Linked DNA regions of Astyanax mexicanus. The protein of the gene in region 1 interacts with the protein of each later gene in a pairwise test. Links are inferred from orthologs where the notes say so. Each region holds a gene or a part of one and is shown on either strand. Other genes may lie near its edges.

Region 1 (7,629 bases):
GGGTCTAATTACTCGTTCAGGACGGAGAGCTCTGCGAATAATTTGCGCTTCAATATCAACTGGATCTGTTTGCATGAGAAAAGTGGGCGTGACCCTGAGTTCGGAGTAAGTTAACCTGCCAGCGAGCAGGTTAGCTTCAGAGCGTAAGTTGCTATAGTAACTGACTCAGGTTCTCTCTAAGCTAAGTTTCTGGAACGGAAAACTCTGAGTTTCCGTTAACTCTGAGTTTACTTACCCGGTTTTGTCACTTAACCTGCTTTCTGGAATACCCCCCAGGTCTATTGTGTTTATTTATATGTCTGTTCACATATATAACAGTGAAAAATATTTTAGCCAGTTTTGCTACCATATTTTTATATTATGGATGTTAATCTACACATATTTCTCTCCTAAAAATCTCTCCTTATTTGGGTGAGTAAAGTGCTACTGTTTATTTACAGTAAGCTTAGATTCCCAAATTTCTCCAGCACTAAGGCTGGAGCATTAGCATTAGCGGCTAACTGCTAGCCTAACAGCGCTACACTGAGGAAGTCAGGGCGATATTAGCAAGCAGTTCGTACCACATAGCTTGTTTTAACACGGTAAACCCATGAAAAATATGGTAAATGACCAATCAGTGCTTCAGTAACTGTGACTTCATACACTTCATACACACAGTGTGCAGTGACTACAGTAGATGAAGAATAAATTATATATTTCACAAACTATGATTAATGTTGTTGCCGTTTAAAGTGCATACATGCTTTGTTATGCTGTCCTATTTGTATTTAGCCAGTGGCATTTAATTATCTTAAAATAATAATAATATTGTTTATTGCAATAATTTCTGGGACTATATATATATATATATATATATATATATATATATATATATATATATATATATATATATATATATATGTAAAACCCTGTTTACTGTATTTAGGGCTGACCTTGTTCTTGACGTCTGTGAGTTCCACCACATGGTTCCTCTCCAGCTCTGCTTGCTGCAGCTCTATTGTTTGCTTCTGCTGGTTTTTAAAATAATCGAATTCTGAATGAAGGCTGTCCAGCATTCGGACCTTCAGCTCTACTTCTCTCTGCAGGGAGTATTTCTCTTGCTCCAGACCCTGTAAAACAAACACATATAATCAAGCACAGCTGTAAAATATTCTCTAATTTCTAATCAGTATATTTTGTAATTAACACTAATTTATCTTTATTTGCATGCAGCCTTTAACTTTGACTGATCTAAGAATAGTACTGAATTTAAATTCTACTAGAGAATCAGCAAAAGCCACTAAATGTGTGATTTAAATGCTGAGATCGTGTTTAAATGTATAATGAGATGATGCACAGTGAGTATGGCTGTTGTCTTGTCCCTTATCTGGTTTGTTTACATTGTTAAATACACAGAGAACGAGCAGAGTGTGTGAGCCCATTACCCACATCGACAATTTATATAGTTGATCAAGTGTAAAACTGACCTCTATTACAGCCGTCATTTCTACTCGCTGCTCCTCCAGTTTATTCTGGAGATCCATTTTATCATCCAGGAGCTGAAGTCCATACTGCGCTGCTTTCTGAAGAGCCTGCTCCGACTCGTCCACCTTCTGCCTCAACGCCAGAATCTCACTCTCTGCAAACGACATCTTTACACAGAAAATAACAGCAATTAATACACGTTATTTTAACTTTCATTCATTTTATTTAACATTATTTCCTCCTAAAAAACATTTCGCTACACACACAGGCAGCAACCATTAATTCTAATTTCACAGTTATTGCTGAGCCGTACAGTATACATATTTAGACTGGAACTAGTTGTTTAAATGTTGGTTGAGAGATGAATCAATTCTGACAGCATTGATCAATAGACCGCTATATCATTAACCGCTGTACAGTATTATACCTATAAATATTATTACAATTGTTTAAGCACATTTTTCAATTCAGTTATTATGCTAAATTGTACTGTTCATATATCATACATCAATTCCTGAATTAATTTGATATTCATGGATATTTCAGTTACAGTTTTTGTTAGATATGAAAAAAAAGAAATTATTTTAGAGGATAAATTTTTTAATTGTACAAGGAACACTCAATTGACCATTGTTTATAGTGTTTACACTACACTAAGAATTCATAAGTTTTGTCCAAAATTGGCATTTAAACGAAGATTAAAATTACTGTTTTATTTCAATTTTCAAAATGATATAATGGAGATGACCAATATGTACATCTTTACATATGGAAGCTGCATCATATGGAAGCTGCATTGAGAATCTAAGTGGACAGAGGATTATTTTCAGTCAGAAAACACTGATTTACTTAATTTAGACTTTACCTATTATGTAAGTAAAATATAAGGAGGTTATGTTTACATTGTGTTTAATATAAAAGCTGCAAAATGTTAAAGGTGCTGATTACTATTCATTAAAAACATAAAATGTAAACATGTAAATGGTGTTCACTGTTCACAAATAAAACAACTGGTTGTTATAAAAGTTATAAAAAATAAATCATATAGAGTTATTTTTCATACAATATCACCCAGCCCTAACCGATAAATAGGCAGAAAACTAGATACCGTACATAAATTGACAGACATACAGAAAGACAGTCAGGCAAAAACAAAGAGACAGACAGACCATCTTTTTTATTGATCCTAAAGGAAATTTAGCAGGCAGTAGAACTTAACTTACACAATAAAGCACAATAATACACAACAATAATAAGCATAAAAATCAATGTAAAAGAAAATTAGAACGTAGATTAAATATACTGTTCACATTTTCAATTCTTTACACTTTTTAATTTAATGATTTAAGGGCTAAACCTAGAGAACTGTGTAGCTAAACTCTGTTAATAAACACCAGTATCCAGGCTAAAGCTAATAGTTGTTCTTAGGTTCTGTTAGCTAATTTACTAGTTCTGAGAGACCGGGTTAGTTAGCTGGTTAGCTTTAGCCGGGCTAAATAACTAGTTTAGTCTAGTTTAGCTGGTTTTTGTACCGTTACCGAATAACCCGACCGGTTCTATAGCATATATTTACCTGAGGTAACTGTTATTAAGTGAATTAGGAGGTAAATATAGAAATACATTCTGTTTTTATAAATTTATTTACCTTTAATTCCGCAGCTCCCCGCCCGGAGCCAAACCGTTTAAACTCTTCTTCTGCGGGTTTAGCTCTCCTCAGCGCGCAGCTTCAGCGCCCCCTACTCCCAGCCTCTATAATACTAATACCTCTCTCATTACAACATAAAACTGTTTTATTTATTATTTACTTTAATTGTGTAGTTCTCTTTAGTTTACATACAATAGAAAAAGAAAATAATATTGATATACATATTAAATATACATGTATGTACAGGCAGATATATCTGCATATACAGAACTGCAGTTTAGGGCATAATATTATACACAGCTCTGAAAAAAAAATTGAGATCACTTCAGTTTCTGAATCAGTTTCTCTGATTTTACTATTTATAGGTTTATGTTTGAGTGAAATGAACATTGTTGTTTTATTCTATAAACTACAGACAACATTTCTCCCAAATCCCAAATAAAAATATTGTAATTTATTTAAATTGAGCATTTATATGCAGAAAACGAGAAATGACTGAAATAACAAAAAAAATGCAGAGTTCAAATAATGCAAAAAAAAAACAAGTTCATATTCATAAAGTTTTAAAAGTTCAGAAATAATCAATATTTGGTGGAATAACCCTGGTTTTTAATCAGTTTGCATGCATCTTGGCATCATGTTCTCCTCCTCCACCAGTCTTACACACTGCTTTTGGATAACTTTATGCTGCTTTACTCCTGGTGCAGAAATTCAAGCAGTTCAGTTTGGTGGTTTGATGGTTTGTGATCATCCATCTTCCTCTTGATTATATTCCAGAGGTTTTCAGTAAGGAAACTCATTATTTTTAAGTGGCCATTTTTCCAGAGCTGTATATTTTATAAATAAAAGTTTTACTGATATAAATCTTAGACTATTTTATAGGTATTAATATATATTAATATTGTGTATGTCATATCCAGTCAGTTTGTTGTTTTAAACTTTACTTCTTTCTTCATTTACAGCTTAAAAAGCTATATTACTGCCATGTTGCCCATTCTGTATAACTACTTAACTATGAATATTACTATATTTCTATAATTAATTGTGTATATGTGGAGTAACTGTAACTGCCTGTTTACTGTACACATAACAACAAAACACCTACATCTTCAATCTTACTATTTGGTGTATTTTATTTTAATACATTTATTACAAGGTCTAAATAAAAATGAATTACTTACTTACTAATTAATCTAAATCAGTTTCTGTTTCAGATAGTATTGACCAGACAGGCTTGAATGCAGGGGGTTTGCCATAATACAGGAAAAACAATTGAAACAATAAAAAAATCAATATGGTGATAATTTGTATTTGTTTTATTATTTACTGTATTTCATTTTTCATTTGGGTGGCAGTTTATATGTATCACTAACTGTGCTGCAGGTTTGTTCTCTGTGTTTACATTATTACATTATTTTTACTTTTGTTTCATTTTTATTATTTTACTGTTCATTTCTTAAAAATAGACAGTTTAAAAAATAGACCGTTTTTTTTTTGTTTGTTCTGAATGTATTAAATTAATTACTAAATAAAGTTGTAATATGTATTTATTTATTTATGCTGTAGTATATTCTTAGAACTATTAATAAAAAAAATCTGTCATATCACCAAGAATACCGTTAACACAAAAATACCCTGAAATATAGTGACATCGTTATTTAGGGCTATTAATACAAATATAAATCAGAAAATTAAAAAAAAAATTAAATTAAAGTTCTGTGCTTCAGTCGGTCTGAATGATTAGTTTAACGCAGGACTGAGTGATTAGAGATGCAGGTATCACAGGTAGATCACTCTGAAGTTTAGCATGTGTTTAACTCTCAGAGGGTGAGACACTCTCTGATTGGTCAGATCTGCATAACAACAGTCCTCACACCCTGGGATTAAACAGCGGGTGAAGTGCTGCCCGTCCACAGTGTCACTGCATTTACATCAGAACTGATATAAAGATCTGTATCTACTGTAATGCTAAAGAGGAGCATACAGAGGAGGGGGGGTGAATGGGCCGGTCCCGGTGTCGATGGTTCTGAAGATAAGTGTGATTAAAAACTCTGTGCTAGAGTTTAATTCAGGAAAACAAAGAAAAGTTCATCAAATAAGTGTATCTACATCAATAAACCACCAATATAAGGTTCTACAGTATAATAAAACAATATTTAATGCTGTAACTTATAACAAATAAACAACTTAACATCTCAAAGTTAAAAAAAAACAGACAAGATAAATATAATAAACCTGCATAAAGAGAACTGCAGGTCAGAACACAACATAATATATACTGTAGGTGGAATTTTCACCTTTTTCCAAAAAAACTAAAACAGCATTGAGTTCCTGTTATTTTATTCACTATTTTAAGATGTTTTATTTTAAGTGAAAGAAAAAAGATCAGTCTAAAAGTCCATAAAGTACCTTTTAGTTGTTTTTTTAGTTGTTAAAGCTGTCCAATACCATACAATGAGATGCACAAGTGGGTCACAAGTAAAATATATGTATATGTGCAAGAATATGTCAAGAAGTATATTTAGCTGTCTATATTTTTACTATATTTTTGTTGTAAACTCATCATTGTCTTTGGGCAACATTATGTTTTTTGGAGCCTTCTTGCTCTAAAACATCTGATCCAAATCATCAGTTTGTTATAAAAAGTCAAAATAGCAATGTATATTTGATATATCAATAGAAACTATATTTAATTTAATGTATGCCATAGAGGGTTAAGCTGTTCAAATAAATAACAAAATAAATTAACAGATTTTTAATCAAATATCAATAAAGATTACTGGTACATTTTTTATAAAGGGCTCAGTTAGAGACAATATATTTTATTACTTGAACAAGTGCTGGTTAGAGTTTCAACAGGGAACAGTGGGAAACTAAATATTCTTCTACAAAATGCTATGACATAAAAACATACATTTCTGCCAGTAAAATCTGTAACACAGAAAGATGTTACCATGGTTTTCACAGATTGGATTTAAATGTTATTTTAAAAAAAAATGTTTTTTACAAAAAGAAAAAATGGAAAAAATCAGAAAACATTAAAAACCAAAACATTAGAAAAAAACATTCTCTATTTTCAAATTTAGCTTTAAACAATCACAAAATGTAAATCATATTTATTACACTTACCCTTTGTCATGTGCTTCTTCGTTTTTTTAGTTAAATCAGTTCAAAATATGGATTTTAAAACACGGATCTGTATGTTGGTAACAGGAAAATCCTATACTTTTTTTTATTATATATTACTTGATTTAGTTTTTTGTTAATAAAACCATGTTTTGTCAACTACAGGGTAATTTAGTTGCATTTTAGTGTAGTCTGTTTAAAGTCTGCTAAAATGAGTTCTGTTAGGGTTTCCATCTCTCTGTCTGACAAAAACCTGACACTGACACACTAACAGAGACTGATCACAAAATTAACAGGTTAAATAAAACAATATATCTGTTGTAACTAATAAAAATAAATGAAAATTTAGCTGAAATCAGTGGATTTTAAAGCAAATGTCTGCCGATACATTCCGATATCATTATTTTATCATCTATAGTTAAAAGTGATTAAATGTTTTTTTTTTTTTACCCTACTGTAGTAAGCTACAGCAAATATAGTATAGCAAACATAAATATGTTTTCTTTAAAAATCAATCGCTTCTTCTTCAAAAAATTGTTACTGGAAATGTCCTAGCAAATGCTAGTTTTGTAATAGACTGATTTTTGTTTAAAACACAACTTTTTAATAGTTTTATTTAGATTATTTTATGTTTTAGTGTTAATGAAGATTTTATTTAAAAAAGCTCTTAGATTATATTTTTTCCTGCAACACAGTTAAGGGATCTTTAAGGGCAATCTTAACGAAAAAAAATCCCTTAAGGTGTTTTTTGAAATCAGACACTAAACTCTTAGATTACATTACACATCTGTTCTCTCTATATAACGTTTGAATTATTGATTTTTTTCAACAATTGGCTGCATCCTTTGAGCAGCCCCTGCTGTTGTACTCTCATGATTGGTAATATGTGGCCCTTATTTTATTAGTTCAGGAGATATTTCCCAGAAAAGTCTGTTTTACAGCTCTTGAGGGCAGGTTTAACTCATGTTTCTGTAAGGATGTATAAAGTGAACTAATGGTTGGATGTTTTGGAGATTAGTAGAGTTCAGTAAATTAAAATAAATATATTAATCTAAAGACAAAAAGTGATTGATAAATTGAGAAACAGCGGACAGTTGTACTGAATCATTTGCTGGGTTGTGGCAAAGCATTTTGCTATTAAAGGAATAAGAGCAAAACAGACTAGATGTTGCTCAAGGTGAACAAATGGTTTCCAAGGATTTAAGGAGACTTTATTGCCATTCACATCACATGTGGTCAATTATTATCTAAGAATACAATAAAACGAAAAATAGAATATAAAATAAATAATAAAACATAAATAGCAAAATTAGCAGCAACATGAATCTCAGTGATGTATTGTGCATCAGAATTGAGAAATTCTATTTTATATGGGAATTGCTTAAAAGCGACAA
Region 2 (7,778 bases), on another chromosome or scaffold:
ATTACACTCTTTTTAGTGCTCTGCTCAGTAAACACACACACACACACACACACACACACACAGTGCACTGTAAAAATAAAGTGTCCATTGTACTAAAGCGCTATAACAACAGTGTGTATGGACTATTTGCTGTTGGTTTAAGGTTATAATAACTTACAGGTCATCAGTTTTGTTATTGAGCTCATTAGAACCATATACAGTTCTCTCACAAAAAGTATTGTATCAAAAGATCAAAAGATCAGTTGAACATGAGACAAAAGTTCGGAATGTCAGCTTTTATTTCCTGGTACTCACATGCAGATTTAGGGCCCTCTCTGGTGAGAATGGGTAATAGCACCGAACATGCGTAAGAATCATTTTAAACTGGGTGGGTGTGATGCTCCTTTCAGAGCAGATCAATCCAAGTTTCCCCTTCTGAAGTCTCCATTGCTCCACCAGTTGCTCGCGATCAGTAAAAAAACTGAGCCAGATCCTCTTTTAGAGGCTGTACGTGTGATTTAAGTACGTAAAAACATGTGACGTGGCCAGAAGAAGAAGAAGAACTCACACGAAAAGCGACCCAACTAAAAACCCCAGTTTTTAGAATGAATATATTAGACTTAGCAGGGATGGTTGTTTCAGCACACTGGTACCATTAAATGCAATATTTTATCCATATTCTTCTCCACACAGAAATGCATCTGCTTTCAGTTTAGAAACTAAATAATACCGCTTTAAGTAGTAAGTAAATAACATTTAGTACTAGGTGGCAAAGCCCTTGCATGCAGTGACTGCCTCAGGCCTGCGACCCAAAAACATCACCAAGCTATTGCATTTTTCATTTGTGCTGCTGTTCCAGAAGCTGCATTCATCACCAAAGCCATGACATTACCTGCACCATGCTTCACAGATGAGCTTGTGTGCTTTGGATTATAAGCAGTTCCTTTTTTTTTTTTTTGCAAATTTCAATTTGGCATTCCGATTTTTGTTTGTATACCTTCTCATTGTCCACCCTGTCAGTGTCCATTCTGTCACTGTACACCCTCTCTTTGTCCAATTTCTCATTGTCTACCCTGTCACTCTTGGTCCTCTCATTGTCCACCCTGTCATTCTCCATCTTCTCACTGTCCATCCTCTCGTTGTCCTCTCATTGTCTACCCTGTCACAGTTCACCTTGTCACTGTCCACCCCATCATTGTCTACCCTGTCACTATCCATTCTCTCAATGTCCACCCTTATTGTCTGCCCTGTCATTGTCCACCCTGTCACTATCCATTCTCTCAATTTCCACCCTTATTGTCTGCCCTGTCATTGTCCACTGTCACTGTCCACCCTGTCACTTTCCAACCTCTCACTGTCTACCCTGTCACTGTCCACCCTGTCACTCTCCATCTTCTCACTGTCCACCCTCTTGTTGTGCTCTCATTGTCTACCCTGTCACTCATCCTCTCATTGTTCACCCTGTCACTTTCCATCCTCTCAATGTCCAGCCTCATTGTCTGCCCTGTCACTGTCCACCCTGTCACTCTCCATCTTCTCACTGTCCACCCTCTTGTTGTCCTCTCATTGTCTACCCTGTCACTCATCCTCTCATTGTCCACCCTGTCACTGTCTATTCTGTCACTGTTCACCCTGTCACTTTCCATCCTCTCAATGTCCAGCCTCATTGTCTGCCCTGTCACTGTCCACCCTGTCACTCTCCAACTTCTCACTGTCCACCCTCAGGTTGTCCTCTCATTGTCTACCCTGTCACTCTTCATCCTCTCATTGTCCACCCTGTCACTGTCTATTCTGTCACTGTTCATTCTCTCACTGTCCACCCTGTGACTGTCCATTCTGTCACTGTTCACCCTGTCACTTTCCATCCTCTCAATGTCCAGCCTCATTGTCTGCTCTGTCACTGTCCACCCTGTCATTCTCCATCTTCTCACTGTCCACCCTCTCATTGTCCTCTCATTGTCTACCCTGTCACTCTTCATCCTCTCATTGTACACCCTGTCACTGTCTATATTCTGTCACTGTTCACCCTGTCACTGTCCACCCCATCATTGTCTACCCTGTCACTATCAATGTCCACCCTTACTGTCTGCCCTGTCATTGTCCACCCTGTCACTCTTCACCTACTGTGCATCACAGGAAGTAAAAAGTGAAAATATAAAGTGATTAAGCTGTAAAATATGATTACTTTAGTCTAAAGTCTTATAAATATGATCAATGACCTTATGTAATCTTAAAAATGTTTAAAACCCAGGTAGCACTGAATTCTGATAATGATACAGATGCTAAATAGAGCGTAATAGTTATTGAACGATTTATAGTGGATAATAAATACTGATAATTTGATTATTATTTACAGTAAAGTTCAATGAGTCTGTTCTGAAACTGGAAGTGTGTTAATGGGTGGGACAGTGCAGCTCATGTTTCTCCCAGAGAAAAGCCAGTATGTGTGTGTGTGTGTGTGTGTGTGTGTGTGTGTGTGTGTAGCTGAATCACTGAATGAATTCCTTACCTTCCTCATAGCCCCAGTCCAGCTCGTCTTTTCCCGGGATGTAATCGGACTCCTCGATCACACTGTCTGCCATGCTGATGGATCCAGAGCCAGAACTTTCACAACTCTCCCTCTCCTCCCTCTCAGAACTGACCCGGGATCTGCTGCACCACTGCTGCTCACACTGCACCCATACAAAACACTCACATACACACTGCTACAGTCTCCTCACAATACACCACACACACACCTATACACACTCCCACTGTCTGATCAGGACACACTCACACACACCACTGCTCTCTACTGATGTCTCTCTCTCTCTTTTACACACACACACCCTCTCCTGACTCCTCCTGCCTCTCTCTCTCTCTCTTCCTTTCTCCCCACCTCCTTCTGTCTCTCTTCCTTTGCACTCTCTGTCTTTGTACTTTCTCTCTCTCTCTTTCATTGACGCTCAAACACTCTCTATTCTCTCTCCCTATACTGTATTTCTCTCTCTGTCTAAAACATGTTTCTCTTCTCTCTTTCTAAAGTGTGTATCTCTTTTCTCTCTCTCCAAAAAGTGTCTCTCTCTCTCTCTATATATATATATATAAAAAATTGTGTATCTCTCTTCTCTTTCTGTCTCTAAAAATGTGTGTATCTCTCTCTCTTTCTAAAGTATTTATCTCTTTTCTCTCTCTCCAAAGTGTCTCTCTCTCTCTATATATATATATAAAACAATGTGTATCTCTCTTCTCTTTCTGTCGCTAAAAATGTGTGTATCTCTCTCTCTTTCTAAAGTATTTATCTCTTTTCTCTCTCTCCAAAGTGTCTGTCTCTCTCTCTTCCTAAAAAAGTGTGTATCTCTCTTCTCTTTCTGTCTCTAACAAGTGTGTATCTCTCTTCTCTCTCTCTTTCTAAAGTGTTTATCTCTCTCTTCTCTCTCTCTTTAAAGTGTTTTTGATCTTTTCTCTCTTTCTCTCTGAAAAAAGTGTGTATCTCTCTCTTCTCTCTTTCTCTCAAAACTATGTATCTCTCTTTCAAAAGCATGTATCTCTCCTCTATCTCTCTCTAAAAATTATGTATATTTTCTTTCTCTCTCTAAATGTATCTCTTCTCTCTTTCTGTCTAAAAACTATAAATCTCTCTCTCTCTTTCTCTGCAAGTTTTTACACACACACACACACACAAATACTCACAAACAAACAAAAACACACACAGTCAAAGACACACAAAGAAGCTCACATTCTGATTGGCTGAAACCCATAAGTCTCTGATCTCTTAGAAAAGACTCATAGTTTGGCCTTGTTAACAGTCTGACCACACATGCTGGACTCACACACACACTTACACACACAATGGTGTTAGTGTTTAAAGTCAGAGCAAAGTTAACAATTTCCTTGTATAATTCTATATTAACTACTACTACACTGTAAAATGTTTATTGTAAATGTTACAGTAAGTCAACAGCAAAAACATTGCCAATAAATAATTATATTACTGTATATCATCGAGTGTCCAGTGAAAAACACTTATCTACAAAACAGCAACTTAACAGGAGAGAGAAAAAAAACTTGAAAACTTTCAGTGAAAGTCAATTTAAAAAGAGTTATTTCTGTTTTTTTTTTCAAGAGTTTCTATTGGTCTGTTCATCAAGAAATTTTGGCACAGTGTAAGGGACAGTTTGTCTGGTCAAATTATGTAGTAAACTAAAAATCAACAAAAATGGAGATAAGTGTTTTTCATAGGACAGCGATGATATCTACAATAGTAATTTACTGTCAGTGAATTACAGAGGATTACAATTTTTCTATTGTAAGTTTTGGCATAAAATACATTAACATACTGAAATTATTCTTTACAATAAACATTTGTACTTTCAGTGTTTAAAGTTTTTATTTGCCAGTGCATGGAGAGAGAGAAGAGAGATACATAGTTTTAGAGTTAGAGAAAAGAGATACACACTTCTAAGAGAGAGAGAGGAAAGAGATACACACTTTTTTAAAGAGAAAAAGAAGATACATTGTTTTTTGAGAGAGAGAGAGAGAGAGAGAGAGAGAGAGAGAGAGAGAGAGAGAGACAGGGAGAGAGAGAGAGATGAAGAGAAAGGCCTTATACAGTATAAAAAGAGACTGAATAGAGGGAGAGGACCTCTATTTCTCTATTTCTAATTCTCACATGATTATTTGTATTGAAGAAAAACTTCACAATCTAAAGTCAAATACTGTAATGACTGTTAAGGTAATTTACTGTTTAATTAAACTGCGTTTGTAGCTCAGTAAAAATGCATTAAAATATTGATTGTACATGTGTTACAGTGATCTGCCACATGAGCACACACACACTAACAAGATAATACTGCTAATATTGGCATTTAATTTACTGACAAAATGTATTTTATCTCAGAGAGACCTTTTAGTTAATAACAGGATCCTATGATGGAAAGTTGCTATTATAATAGAATTTGTGTGTGTGTGTGTGTGTGTGTGTGTGTGTGTGTTGTCCCATTGTCCCAGGTGAAATTGTAAAGGGCAGTTGAGCTCAATGTGTTCTGTAATCCCTCTGACCCACATTTACTAAAATTAAAAACTCATAATTGTGTAATTTCCCTCTTTCTCTAATGAGCTGTTAATTGGGTCGTTTTCCTCCCTAAAGGTTATAGTTTTACTACAGCACGAGATCACACTCAGATAACTCATACTAATCACAACCACATATCTAACATCTTAATGTGCACTCCTTTCAAATATCAGAAATAATATATGGCTTTTGCGCATGTGTATACCTGTATCTATAGTGCTATATAAAAGTTGAGAACCAGTTTACATTTAATGTTTTCCTTTACTCATTTTCTAAATTGTAGATTAATTAAAAAGACATGGAAACATTTAAGGGACACATATGGATTTATGTGGTAAACAGTAAAATAAGCGTTTATCCTCCACATGAATCCCCTGATCTAAAGCTGATGAACTGAGATGATAATTTGAGGTGATTTAAGTGGGATGAGCTGGAGCTTCACAGCGTGAAGAAAAAGCAGCAGCTATTGTTCAGCACCTCCAGAAACTCCTTCTTTCAAGACGCTGAGAAAAATATTTCAGGTGACTCTCCCTCATGAATACACTGAGATTAAAATCACACCAAGAGTGTGCAGATCTGTCCTTAAATATAAATGTGCTACTTGTAAGAACATATTCTGATTTGTTTAACACTTTTTACAGAAAAATGCTGCATGTGTTCCTGTAGAGCTTTAATATAGACGTCAATATTAAATTTACAATGTAAATTTGTGGTATATATATATATGACAAATATAAATATAATACACACATATATATATATATATATATATAGAGAGAGAGAGAGAGAGAGAGAGAGAGAGAAACAGAGAGAGTACTTCCAATTAATAATCCCATATCAATAATCAAATCATCAAATCAGTTCTCTTTAAAGCCTTCATATATAAAGCATTATAAGTGTATATGAAGACATATAAGTGTATAAATATATTTAAATAAATATAATATAAAATAAACATAACTGTCTAAATTAAAAATAAAAAGTAAGAATAACAAATTTGCAAAAATGTAGAAATGATTCATATATATGCCCATGCTGGTGAAGCAACTTGGTCTCACTGGTACAACATATAATAAGTGTGTATATAACATAAGTACATGTAATTACACTTTTGTATATATTTAAAGGTGAAAGAAGTGAAAGGAATAGGATCTGTCTGAAGGTGCAGCGCTGGCCTCTAGTGGACAATATAAAACACAGCACAGCTTTTAAAGGAGTGATTTTATACATATTAATAAAAACATGCATTAAAAACCTGATCACTATTAATAACACACATTTACTCTCAGAACACTTCACATTCATTATGATGAGTGTCTACACACCCCCATCTATGGACACACTCTCAGTCTTGCTGATACCTATAACACTATTTTGCACTAGTAGTTCATTCACAAGTTCATTCATCTACTGTTTACGTATCTGTCGCACTGCTAAATTTTAATTATTATATAACTGTGTATTTGCACTTTCTGTATGGCTGACATCAGTTATCCTCACTTTATGCACATCAGCTGGTGTTCACTGTATATTGTGTTCAACTGCACTACCTCCATTACACACACACACACACACACAAGACTGTACTTTTATACTTTTCATTTAATTTTTTTATTTCATTGTATTTATATGTATCGTTATATTTTATCTTTTTGTAACTTTGTGTACTATACATACCTGCTGCTGGATGCCTAGAATTTCCCCTTGGGGATCAATAAAGTATCTATCTATCTATCTATCTATGAACTAGTGCTGTCAAGGTTAACAAGTTAACACACAATTAATCTGTAAAATTAAACACATTCATTATTAATACATTAATCACATGACAACAATACATAAAACACATTAACAAAGCCTGGTAATGTATAATCGGTTTCATTCAGCCATGTAAACACAGCGTCAGTACTGTTCCGAGGTCAGTAGGTAGATTACTTTTTATTTAGGATTAAACAGGGCTCATTTCTATAGCAATAATAATTGTGACACAATATTTAAAAAATGTGATATTCATTTTCAACACATTTTCAATATTTGACTTGCATCTTGCATATCATTTGTTTTATTTTAAATCCAGTGTGATGGAATGCAGGCCAAAATCACAAATTGTCATTGTCTCACTGTACAAATATGTATGCGCCTAACTGTACTGTATCGACCAAGTATACTGTGATATAAAATCTTGTGAAATAAAATTTCAATGCTGAAGTATGGGTTAAATCACACACACACACTGCTTTTGAAACAATGAACCACATCATCCTTATCTCTCAGTTAGAGAGGTGTTGGTATTCAAGGCACCCCTTTAGAATGTTTTCTGTCCTATTTGTCTGACAGAAGTTGGTGATATTGTGAAAAACTCCAGCAAAATCGAAATCACCCACCTTAGCTTCTGTAATATATTTGCATTGTACTAAAATACATTAATATTCAATGGACATATACAGTGGTATGAAAAAGTCTGGGCACCCCTGATCATTTTTATGATTTTTCTTTATAAATCATTGGTTGTTTGGATCAGCTATTTCAGTTAAATATATCATACAGCAGATGAACACAGTGATATTTGAGAAGTGAAATGAAGTTTATAGGATTTACAGAAAGTGTGCAATAATTAATTAATTAAACTAAATTAGGCAGGTGCATAAATTTGAGCATCCCAACAGAAAATTTACATCAATATTTAGTATTTACTCTTTCTATAGCTTCCAATCAGATTCTGGCTTCTGGTTAAAGGTAAGCTTTC

What was found.
Region 2: the proteins of spdl1 (region 1) and ca8 interact in binary tests that used the Homo sapiens proteins (3 or more experiments, as listed by UniProt). The two-hybrid records come from large-scale screens. The link is inferred for Astyanax mexicanus from reciprocal best matches to the Homo sapiens genes SPDL1 and CA8.

The regions. Positions count from the first base shown.
Region 1 is NC_064417.1:53,769,809-53,777,437, forward strand, and holds the start of spdl1 (protein Spindly), read right to left. Parts: upstream 3,230-7,629; 5' UTR 3,110-3,229; intron 1,632-3,109; coding exon 1,467-1,631; intron 1,110-1,466; coding exon 933-1,109; intron 1-932. UniProt on the Homo sapiens protein: Required for the localization of dynein and dynactin to the mitotic kintochore.
Region 2 is NC_064425.1:41,311,562-41,319,339, forward strand, and holds the start of ca8 (carbonic anhydrase-related protein), read right to left. Parts: upstream 3,035-7,778; 5' UTR 2,562-3,034; coding exon 2,489-2,561; intron 1-2,488. UniProt on the Homo sapiens protein: Does not have a carbonic anhydrase catalytic activity.